Linked DNA regions of Drosophila melanogaster. Changing the gene in region 2 together with the main gene of any one other region gives a genetic interaction. Each region holds a gene or a part of one and is shown on either strand. Other genes may lie near its edges.

Evidence for each region. A genetic interaction does not mean that the proteins touch.
Region 1: of Wnk (region 2) and Ncc69, changing one suppresses a phenotype caused by changing the other (phenotypic suppression), as found in Drosophila melanogaster (one study listed by BioGRID).

The regions. Positions count from the first base shown.
Region 1 is NT_037436.4:12,388,341-12,393,550, forward strand, and holds the start of Ncc69 (sodium chloride cotransporter 69), read right to left. Parts: upstream 3,105-5,210; 5' UTR 2,983-3,104; exon of another isoform or gene 2,157-2,982; intron 1-2,156.
Region 2 is NT_037436.4:21,551,712-21,556,599, forward strand, and holds the start of Wnk (Wnk kinase), read right to left. Parts: upstream 3,218-4,888; 5' UTR 2,843-3,217; exon of another isoform or gene 2,670-2,842; intron 2,470-2,669; 5' UTR 2,433-2,469; coding exon of another isoform or gene 2,314-2,432; intron 1,883-2,313; coding exon of another isoform or gene 1,408-1,882; coding exon 493-1,407; intron 262-492; coding exon 89-261; intron 28-88; coding exon 1-27. Other genes in the region: CG7173 (uncharacterized protein), read right to left, coding at 3,940-3,974, 4,041-4,230, 4,580-4,888. UniProt on the Drosophila melanogaster protein: Serine/threonine-protein kinase component of the WNK-SPAK/OSR1 kinase cascade, which plays an important role in the regulation of electrolyte homeostasis and regulatory volume increase in response to hyperosmotic stress.

The DNA.
Region 1 (5,210 bases), 9.2 Mb from region 2:
AAGCTTATATGTGAATACCTCATGAATAAAATATTGATTGAATTGATGAAAGAAGTCTAGAGGCAAGAGTTCTTATTTAAGAAGATAACCCAAAGTGGCAATAGAACAAGTGCCTCATTTTTCTATTGTTTTCTACACAAATTTTAAAATATTTTTTTTTTATTTCCCTGATATATATTCCATTCTTTTGAGTGCCTCGCGTCAGTCTATTCACCAAATGGATGCCGTGCACTTTCTGGTCGACCGCCTTTGTCAAGGTTCGCAAGGTCAATGATTTATTAGTTTATTTGTTCGCCAGTGCGTTGCGTTCTGTTGTGATCTCCGGTTCGTTGTCCGTCTATCTGTCAGTCAGTCTGGCTGACTTTCTCCGGACTTTTTGCCCCTGGGTGCGGCAACGTGCTGGAGCCGAGTGCCTATTGTCCATGGCTGACAGGCAAAGCTTGGGGATCAGGCGGCTTTGGCGCCAGTTGAGCCGCAAATCCGACGACCCCCAGCCGCTCCACCCCAGTCAGCCTCAAAAGTCGGTCGAGAATCATTAAGGGGAGCAGTGACAATTTGAGTTGCATTTCCATTAGCCGGTCTGTGTGTCAATGGTTTGGCAAATGGACAAGTTAATCGAGGCATGTGCTCGGTTCACATATGCGCTGCGACAGCTCAAACCAGCTGAGCTCCATGGCATTCAGTTCATTTTCTAAGTTGGTATACTCGAAGATGGGCCACGACCTTCAAATGCTACCCCATAAAGAATGTCGATCGATGATCGGTCTTTCGGGGTGGAATGAGCGCAACCCCAGGATCTGGGTTTCTGTTGCCAGGCGCAATGGAAGCCCATTATATGCAGCTGCATTTAGTTTCTACAGGGTTCTTTTTACCTTAAGTAGCTTCAAAAGTAATGCAACATTTGAGTACAAAATAATATTATATTTTGAAAAACACTCTAATAGATCTGTATTCTATTTGTCCACGAAAAAATTGAATTTCATGGTCTTTTCATTTTGATTAACTATTAAATATTCAAAAATTTAAATTTCCAGGTATCAAACTTCGAAGTATTTACCTTACCTAAGGCTTTAAAATAAATTTAATTTATGAGTTTTTTAAATAACCTATATTTCATTGTTATTTAAATTAAAAAGAATTTAATTTCTTTGAGGGATTTTTTTTTTGCTTGATTACTATTGGGCGTTTATAATCGTAAACCATTGGAGTGGTGCTCACTCTCACTCCAACATGCAGTTTTTAGAGCAATTATAATTGAATTTCTTTTTTGAATTAAAATGTATATGAAAAGCCACTTGAAAGGTAATGAAATTATGAACATTTTTTACAAGCACTTTAAGTTTAATGGTGTGGAATTTTATATGGCGCTTCACAAACACAAAGTGGTGAAACTCAAATAAATATTTAACTACTTTAAATATGAATTTATAAATGAATTGGACATTATTAATATATCAGTAGCGACATGGAAATAATATGGAAAATGATTTACAAGAATCATTTTTTAGCAATTTTAAGAGGAAAAGTATTATTAGAAATTTATAAATCAAAGAAATAAGATTCCTCTTGTGTAGTTTTTAGATATAAACTGACTCTTAGTTCTTAAATAGCATATGCTAGTGTCAAAACCATAAGAGCAACTATATATATGCAACCAGATATGCGAGTGCACAGCAGCAAATGACAACTGACCGCAATCCTGAACACTGAATGATTCTAGTGGAGCGTCTTCCACATTGTCGTCATAGAATTTCAAGAAGACAGATAAATGCACCGGTGAATTTATTACCCCATTTAGTGGCAAAGATAATTGGAGATGAACTGGAGAGCACTTGCCAAAGATAGACGAGACCGGACCCGGAAAAACTGGTAAACTGGCTTTCAAGTTCAAGTGCATGGCAATCGCTCGCAAAAAGGCTGAAAACATGGATACTTGGAAAGCATATCTGAGATATTTTTAAGTCGAGAGTTTAAAAAGTAGCCTATTGAAATGAAATTCACCGCCGCTGGTCAAAAGATATCCAGCTTCGCTCACTCGTGCATAAGTACATATTTATGTAAATTTGTATATACAAAGCCAACACAGCTGGCCAAAAAAGCCGCAGTCAAATTCTAGGGAAATGTATGAAATACAATTTGCCGCTTTGCGAACTCACCGAAACGCACTAAATTAATATCCAACTGGCTGGCAGGTAATTTATAAGTTTTTTCTTTGAACTACGAATTTGCAGCAATAAATGCACTTCTCACTGCAACACGCACACGATGTAGTTTACTTTGGTAAATACCACATATATTTACCCGCAAGAGTGCGATACGAAAACGAAGTGTGGGAATGCGAAAACTAAGCTCACTTATGTGTATGACAAATAATTATTTTATTATCTACGCTGCCTTGAGCTTGCAATCCATGAGCACGAACTGGGGAGTACTTGAGATACGGCTGATATCCAAATGCTAGCCACAAGCCACCCACTTCAAATTCCCCAAAAGCACTTTTGCACCGAAACAACAACAAATTTGGTTTGTTCAGAAGGGCACTTGATTGGCTTTTACACACACACTTCTTCGGATGGGCGAAGGCTTATTGCATACACAATATGAAATTTAGACGATGTTTCGCTTTCTTGCACTGCAAAACGCTCATTCGAGCCAGTTAATTGTGTTCCAGTAGGATGAGCAGCAGTCTACGATGGGTTCACTCTGCGGGCCAGCAGATGCGGTACAAAGCTCTGCTTTGTATCTGACAGATACTTGGATACTTTTGTATCTTTTGGAAATATTGGAATATGTTTCAGCTTTGCAGATACTCAAACGTTCAGATTCTATTGCATATTGCAGATACTTTTACACGCTTTAATCTTTCAGGTACTTGTGGTATCTTGCAGATACTTGAACACTTCAACACTGGCCTCTAAAAGGGGCGCGTTTTCGAAAATAAACATCCAGCACCGAAAATAAACGATCGTTGCCTGTTCTTACTTCGAGTTCAAAACGTGGCAGCTGATCCGACAAACGATTCCGATTCCTATTCCGATTCCGATGAGGAGCTATGGCAATAGCTATCCAAACGCACGTTCAGAGAGTCGACGACTGACTGAGGCAAACTCGGGTGGCGATCGCCACAAAATATCAGAAGCGATTGCGGCGAATTCGCTTCGTCGTTCGCTCGAATGCGGCGAACAAACAAATGTGCCTCGAGAGGCACCAAACCAACCGACAGCATAACGAGCTATATAGTATATAGGGTATATATACACATACAAATATATATTTAGGGAGATCGAACGAACCCAAGTTGCCCAAATGTGCGGCATAAAAATTCCATTTCACACACGCACGCAACTGAAGTTGTGTTGAGTGAGTTTGGCTTCCATGGCCATGGCTTGGTTTCTGTGTGAATCAGATAGCTGGCTTGGGGTTACCTTGGTGGTGGCTTTTGCACCCTTACGAATGTTAGAAACATCCGTATCCGAAACTGCATGCCATCTGAATGAGTTGAAAGATGACTCAGGCCAGCAAGTTGTTCGATACGCTGCAACCGGTGAAAATTCAAGTTAATCACCGTTAGAAAAAAAATTTAGTACACTTTTAGGAGGGTTGCACACAAAATCTTATACTTTCCGTTAAGGTGCTTATATATTTATTTTTTAATTTCCACTTTTCATAATTTTAAAGGTTTTTTATACTTCTAAATAACCAAGAAACATTAAAGTGCCATGAATCACTTTCGAATCTCAACATGGAGAAGAGAAAAGTGCCTATTGAACGAAAAACTCAAAAAGTAATTTTTCAAACATGACAGTTGTTTTTCCGCGACGACTTATTTCAAATATTTACCAGCTGCTGGCAAACACAAGTGACAGATATGACTTTTTCCACAGCTTCGCTTAGCTGGCGATGAAGGGGCGCAAATATTTTGCCAAGGAACCCGCTGACAATTGGGGGTTTCCCAAGAGGCAGGCAGCAATCAGAACCGGTTTCTTGGTCAAGTGCATGCAATGCAAATATTTGGACGCAATGAACACCAACTGTGCCCCATAGGTTTTCATTAGCCGGCGAGAGCCCAGTCATATCGAGTGCCTCCAATAATTGGGAGCTCGCTATCTACCGTTTCGAATGTTTTTATCAGAGATAAGGGGCGACTCCGGATACCGACGAACGTAAACAAATATCTGGGAATTCGGCCGACAAAACCGCCAAGTGGGCAAATGTAACTCTGCGGGCCCTTGGCTCCGTATCACAAAAACCATTGGCCCATTTTATTGATTTTGTGGTGCAAGGCAAGCGCCATTTGAAAAAGTTATTTTCAAAAATATCTACATATAAACATAAAAGTGCTCTAGAATCCTCTCGAAAGTTTAAAAAGTTGTGTCATACAGCAACGCACACAATTTTGGTTTAAAAACCATTATAAGCAAAATAGCAATTCTTTACCAATAAAGAAGTAATTAATTTTCAAGGAGTCGGCGATAGCAATGCAATTAGCTTGGAAATCGTGTATCTATGCACCCCTTTCCATATCATTTTCAAGTGGCAATCAAGTTTGAACTGGCTATTAATAGACGATTCGATCGAAATTTAATTTCAGTTGACTTAACAGATTAGCGTTGCTTAAATTTATGAGGTCTGTGCAAACATTTACGGAGCGCGCTAACACCCAGCAGTTATAAAATAATTAGCAGCCATTTAAAGCCAATTATCACATAAACACTCATAGACCATCGCCTCGCGGTGCTGAATTCTTCGATTTTGATGGGGGTAAATCATGCGAAAGTTGAATTATGTGGCCCAATGTTGCGCATACGCCATGTGTCAAACGAAAGCCCCGTGACAAGTCATTCGCCAAGTCATATACATACATATGTACTTAGGAAAATGGAGAAAAACCAACATGCACGAGTACTTAGATCAAATGATTTAATTAGCACTGGCCCCTCCAATTGTGTTCATTTTAATTACATACATTTTATCAGCCGTCAAAGCTTACGACTGCGAAGCCGCAAGGAGGAGGCAAGTTGTCGTGGCCCATGTGTCAATAAGTCAAACGATGTTAATTAATTGAGTGCGATAGCAAAATGCCCTGCAACCGTTGGCCTGTCACACGCAGTTTTCGTTGGCCCATCGCAATTAGCCCAAAAAGCCCGGTTACACAACCTAAGAGTTCTCTATCCGAAAATGTAATTATTTGCCTTAACCAAAGTGCAGTG
Region 2 (4,888 bases):
TGTATTTTTTTGAATCGTTTCAAATAGCTATAAGGAAATAAGAGTTTATGTTTACAATTCGCCCATTAAAATCCATGTTTACGCTTACGATTTCAAAGTTCCAGATAACATTAGTTCGGTGACTAGTACAATATTCTTCTTGCGGCCAATAGGAAACTCCCAATATGTATAAAACCGCACTATGTTTGGGTGCTGAAGTTTCTTCAGCATGTCTGCCTCCTCGCGAAATCTAGTACGTTCACTTTTTTTTACTTGCTTGTCCTGTAAAATAGGTAAATAAAATTGTACATTTTCATGTTACCTAATGATTACTTTAATTGTGATGATCCATTATATAAAAAAGATTACTCAATCAAAAATTCATGATAATTATTATCTATCTGATAACTTGCTTATGCAAGCTTGTGATCATGTTTGCTTTGACTAATAATAATAATACTTATACATATGCCCAATGGCACAACAATAAACTTAAGAAGTTTTTTATCTTACCAATAACTCGCACCAGGCAACTGGAACACCAGTCAACGTGTCCAGGCCACGATAGACAGTTTTAAAGGAACCGCGTCCGACTTCCTTATCGTACTTAAAGAATCGTCCGCACGGCGACATGGCCACCGGATCATCGTCCTCATCGCTCTTACTCTTGGTTATCGATGTAGCTGAAGATGTGGTGGAGACCAGCGACGTGGAGGGCAGGGGAGATGCAGATGCATCTGTCGAGGACCCGGTGACAGCAGCTTCCTCTGCGCTAGCCTCGGAGCTCTCCGCTTTTTTGGTTATGTCGTCGAAGCTCTTTGCCTGCTTTTCGCTCTGAACTTCGGTATCGTCCTTATCCTCTACTTGAAAGCCAACTCGTTTTACGCCGCTTGAGTGCTTGGTAGAAGACTTCAATGGCACATCGTCTTCAGTCTTTTCGATTGTAAGACTCCGTGACGCTTCGGTTATAATGTTGTCGATGATTCCGGCCACATGGTGGGAAGTGGCATCCGTAGCATTGGAGCGCGTAGGCGTGCGGAACTGCTCCTCCAGATGCTCCGCCTCGCGGGAAAGCATCTCGATGTTGTCGTCATAGTCACGAGGAAACTCTGTCTCGAGTTCAACGAACTGCAGTGGATTGGTGTTCCTGCCTGACTGTTCCACATTTTTACGGACGAATCGAATGTTTTGCACGAAGTTCGCCGTCAAAGTCGTTGGCGTGGTCTTTGACGAGTGCAGTGGCGCCTGCTGCTTGATCAATGGCTCGATCACCGTGTCCGAGGAGGACTTTCTGGCCTCCATTTTCTTGGTGTCTGAAACAACCGCTTGCGACGTCCCCTTGACTGACTTGTCTTTTTTAGGTTTGCCCGAAGTAAGACCAGCTTTCTGGTTGCTTATGGCATCTGCAGGTTCTATTTTGCTATCCATTTCGTCCTCATTCTGTTCCCTGCTCTGGTTGTCCTGAGAGCAAAGCACCTCTACATCGGTTGATTGCTGTTTGCCTAAATCGCCGTTGTTGTTATCGTTGACTTTCGGTACGTCGTCCACGTTTTTCGGGCTTGACGCCGTTTTGCCGGGAAGGGTGTTATTTGAAAAGCGTCTTAGCACCCGCACAAATAGGTTACTTTTGCTGGCAGCTGGTGGTGTAGGCGTGGTGTTCAGCGTGGGTAGAGAAGAAGCTGGCTCGATAGGTGATGACTGGATTGAAGTGGTGCTGCTAGTGCTCGTGTGTGCAGAAAGTGTGCCCTGCTTGCAAGTGGGCTTTCTGTTTAGTGTGTCTTTTAGTTTTGATGTCGGGTTCGGCTTTTGCCTAGAGGAGGCAGATCTATTAAACGAACGGTGTCCCGACTTTTGTATATTAGCTCCCTGCACAGTTTGCTCCTCGCTAGAAATTGAGGTATTCCTAAAAGAATGATAGAAGTAGTTGATTAGATTCTATAGACTCACAGGTACAACAGTCGAGTTTTCCACAGTTCTCAGTAAACTTCCTTCCAAGAACATTTTATAAACATTCGATAAACGAAAAAACGGTTTCAGTTTACGTGTTGTTTATCTAGTAAGTTTTGCTTAAAACAGAGACGTTGAAGTAACAATTCCAGTTGAAGCATATTTAAAAATTAGTATCCTAGGGAAACAAATCCTTTGTAGGATACTTGGTCAGTTTAACACACTACATACAAGGATATTTTAAACCAGCTTTTACGTTATTTAGGCATATATGAAACAACGATTGTTACTTCAATCATTTTTTGTTATGTGCCCTGATTTAAATAAAAACAATATTTAAATAAATAGAGATATTCCCTAAATGTTTTGGCAATGACTCCAACTCACCTTTGAGGTTGCGTGGTGCAGGAGGTAGTACCATCTTCGCTGATGGCGCTTCCCTTCCGAGCACGGTTCGCAGGTACGACCTCTTGTTGTCGTACGAAGTCGCAGAGGGTTTGTCCAATTTTGCAAGATTTTTAGCAGCAGACCACCACGTTTAATCTGAAGCGAGAGGCAAGGCGGTGAATGAGTACATGAAGGCATGGAGGAATGGAGCAAAGGTTAAATTCCGGCACTATTGACAGGAGGAACTGGCTTGGACTGGGGCAGAGACATGGGCAGGGGCAGGAGCAGGGAAAGGTGACCATTCCCACACCCACTTATGTTCGTTGCTTGGTGCCGACGTCTGAAATATCGCTTACAGCTGGGTGGAGGAGGTAGTGGCGCCGTCTCCAGGAGGCCGAGGTGTGCGCTTTCCATGAATCACTAGTTTCGATTGCACTACGTTCGTCACTGGCTCTGCCGTTCCACTCTACTCTGTTCTGTTCTGTCGCGAGGGATATGTGCGTATGTGCGGTACGCTGGCTATACATACATATTTATGTACATTTGATTCGGGACAGGAAGCATATGCAGCGACTATGATGTCATGTTTCCACGCCGCTCCTTCCGGAAGTCCTTCGCTCGACGGGATCGTGCTCGAGTTGGGGATTTACGACCGGGACGGGGTCTAGGGCTCGCACTGCGACTGTCGGATCGTTCGCATCGAGGATTTCAATTTGTGATTGTGGTGTTCAAAGGCAATTCGAGCTAGCAAGCTTTCATATTACGGCACGGGGGATTGGTAAGTCTTTCGGGAGATAGTGTCACCTCCACAAGGGGGGTCAATTGGATTGAACGCGTGCGAGAGTCAGCGGAAAATTGAAGTTATTTCGCCAGAAGTTCCCTTTACTTTCACAAAAAATTTTACAAAGCAACTGGGTTTACTTGTGTTCGTGATCTATCGATAGCGCATATTGTTACACAAGTGTTATCGGCGGTGATGCCACCCAAGCTACCAGCTTGCCTAATATATATGTTACGCATTAGCAGAGATGTTACCTGGCCTCTGTTAACTTGAACAGTAGACCGTTACTCTTCGAACGAGTTATAACATTGTTAAGAATACTGTATAACCTTTAAGCATTAAGCCACTTTTTTAAATTTCATTTTGCCTGCCATAATGAAACAGATTACAAACAGATTACAGCTGTAAAAACCACACCTAACAAAGTCTTAATAAATTCCAAACCCTTATACAGGTTTCCCTTATTCAGCAAGAAGATGCTCCTGTCTCTTTTGTTTTGCCCCTAAGGCAAAAAGCCCAGATAGTCTCTTATTTTATATATATAAATATGATTTTCGATAATGTTTTCTTGCAATTCGTTAATTTATTTATTATAACTAACTTCTCTGAATGATTTTTGAGATACATACAAATATATTGTAGAACTTAAATATACATGCACTAATAGTTTATAAGTTATCACTTTAATGAATAGGAAAGCTATAAGTGCACGATATTTTTATACGTGAACAACAAATCAAAATCACTTTTTACAAAACCCTACATTTTACCATTTCCACTAAATTTGCATATTTTGTAATCGCTAGAATAAATTAAATTAAAACAGTTTTTTATTTTATTTTAGTTTAAGAGCAAGATCCTTTACTCTTAATCGTCACACCTGGAATAGAACATGTTGGTTTAAAATATATACAGACAATACATATATTGGGTATGAAACTCTTACTTATATTGAGGCATGACGAATAGCACTGCAGTTGGGTTTCGCCCGTGTACATGTATCCGTCGGATCCACAGATTATTTCATCGTTTTCATCGTACACATTAGCACATATCTTCTCGCAGTAGTTTTCCGTGTCCTTTGGATCGTCAGGAGTAGCTGAACTCGTCACAGTGGGCACCTTTGGAATATCTTGCTGAAATGGGCAAATTTAAAATTAAAAATGTAAGAGCTAAATTCACAGCAAAAAGAATTTGATCTTATTAGGAAAAACTGTTACTGGTATTTGATGAGTCGTATAATTTTTGTAGCTTGAGTTGATAGAATCAACTATTTTTTTAAGTTTATTTTTTCAAAGAAGAGTACTATTTTAAACCCGTAAACGATTTGATCGAAATTAAGTACTCACTAAATCGCGTAAAAATCATTATAAAATGCCTTAAAGGTTGGAAGTGCTTGTTTTTGTGGCCACTTTTTGGCCAACAAATATGCTAGCTTATATAAGCTACTTGCGGTTTTCACATTTATTGAGAAACAGAACCAACCTGCTTTCCACTTTCAGTGTCGGAACTATCCTCTGGGTCATCGGTGTATTCCTTAATGGGCTTGCTGAGTTCAATCTTCGGGGCAGGAGATTTCGCGGGCTCGCGGGGAGCTTGGGCCACGGTTTCGTAGTAGTACTGATTGGCTTGCGGGGCTTGGGTGTACTTCATCGATCCCCTTATGGCATCTTGCTCGGTGAACTCGAATCGCAGAGGCTCCGGGGTAAAGCTCTTGTGGGTCTTGGCGAGGTGCTGGCTCTTCGACGGCGATTGAGTGGTGGTCTGGACCGCCATGGGAGTAGAGACCACATG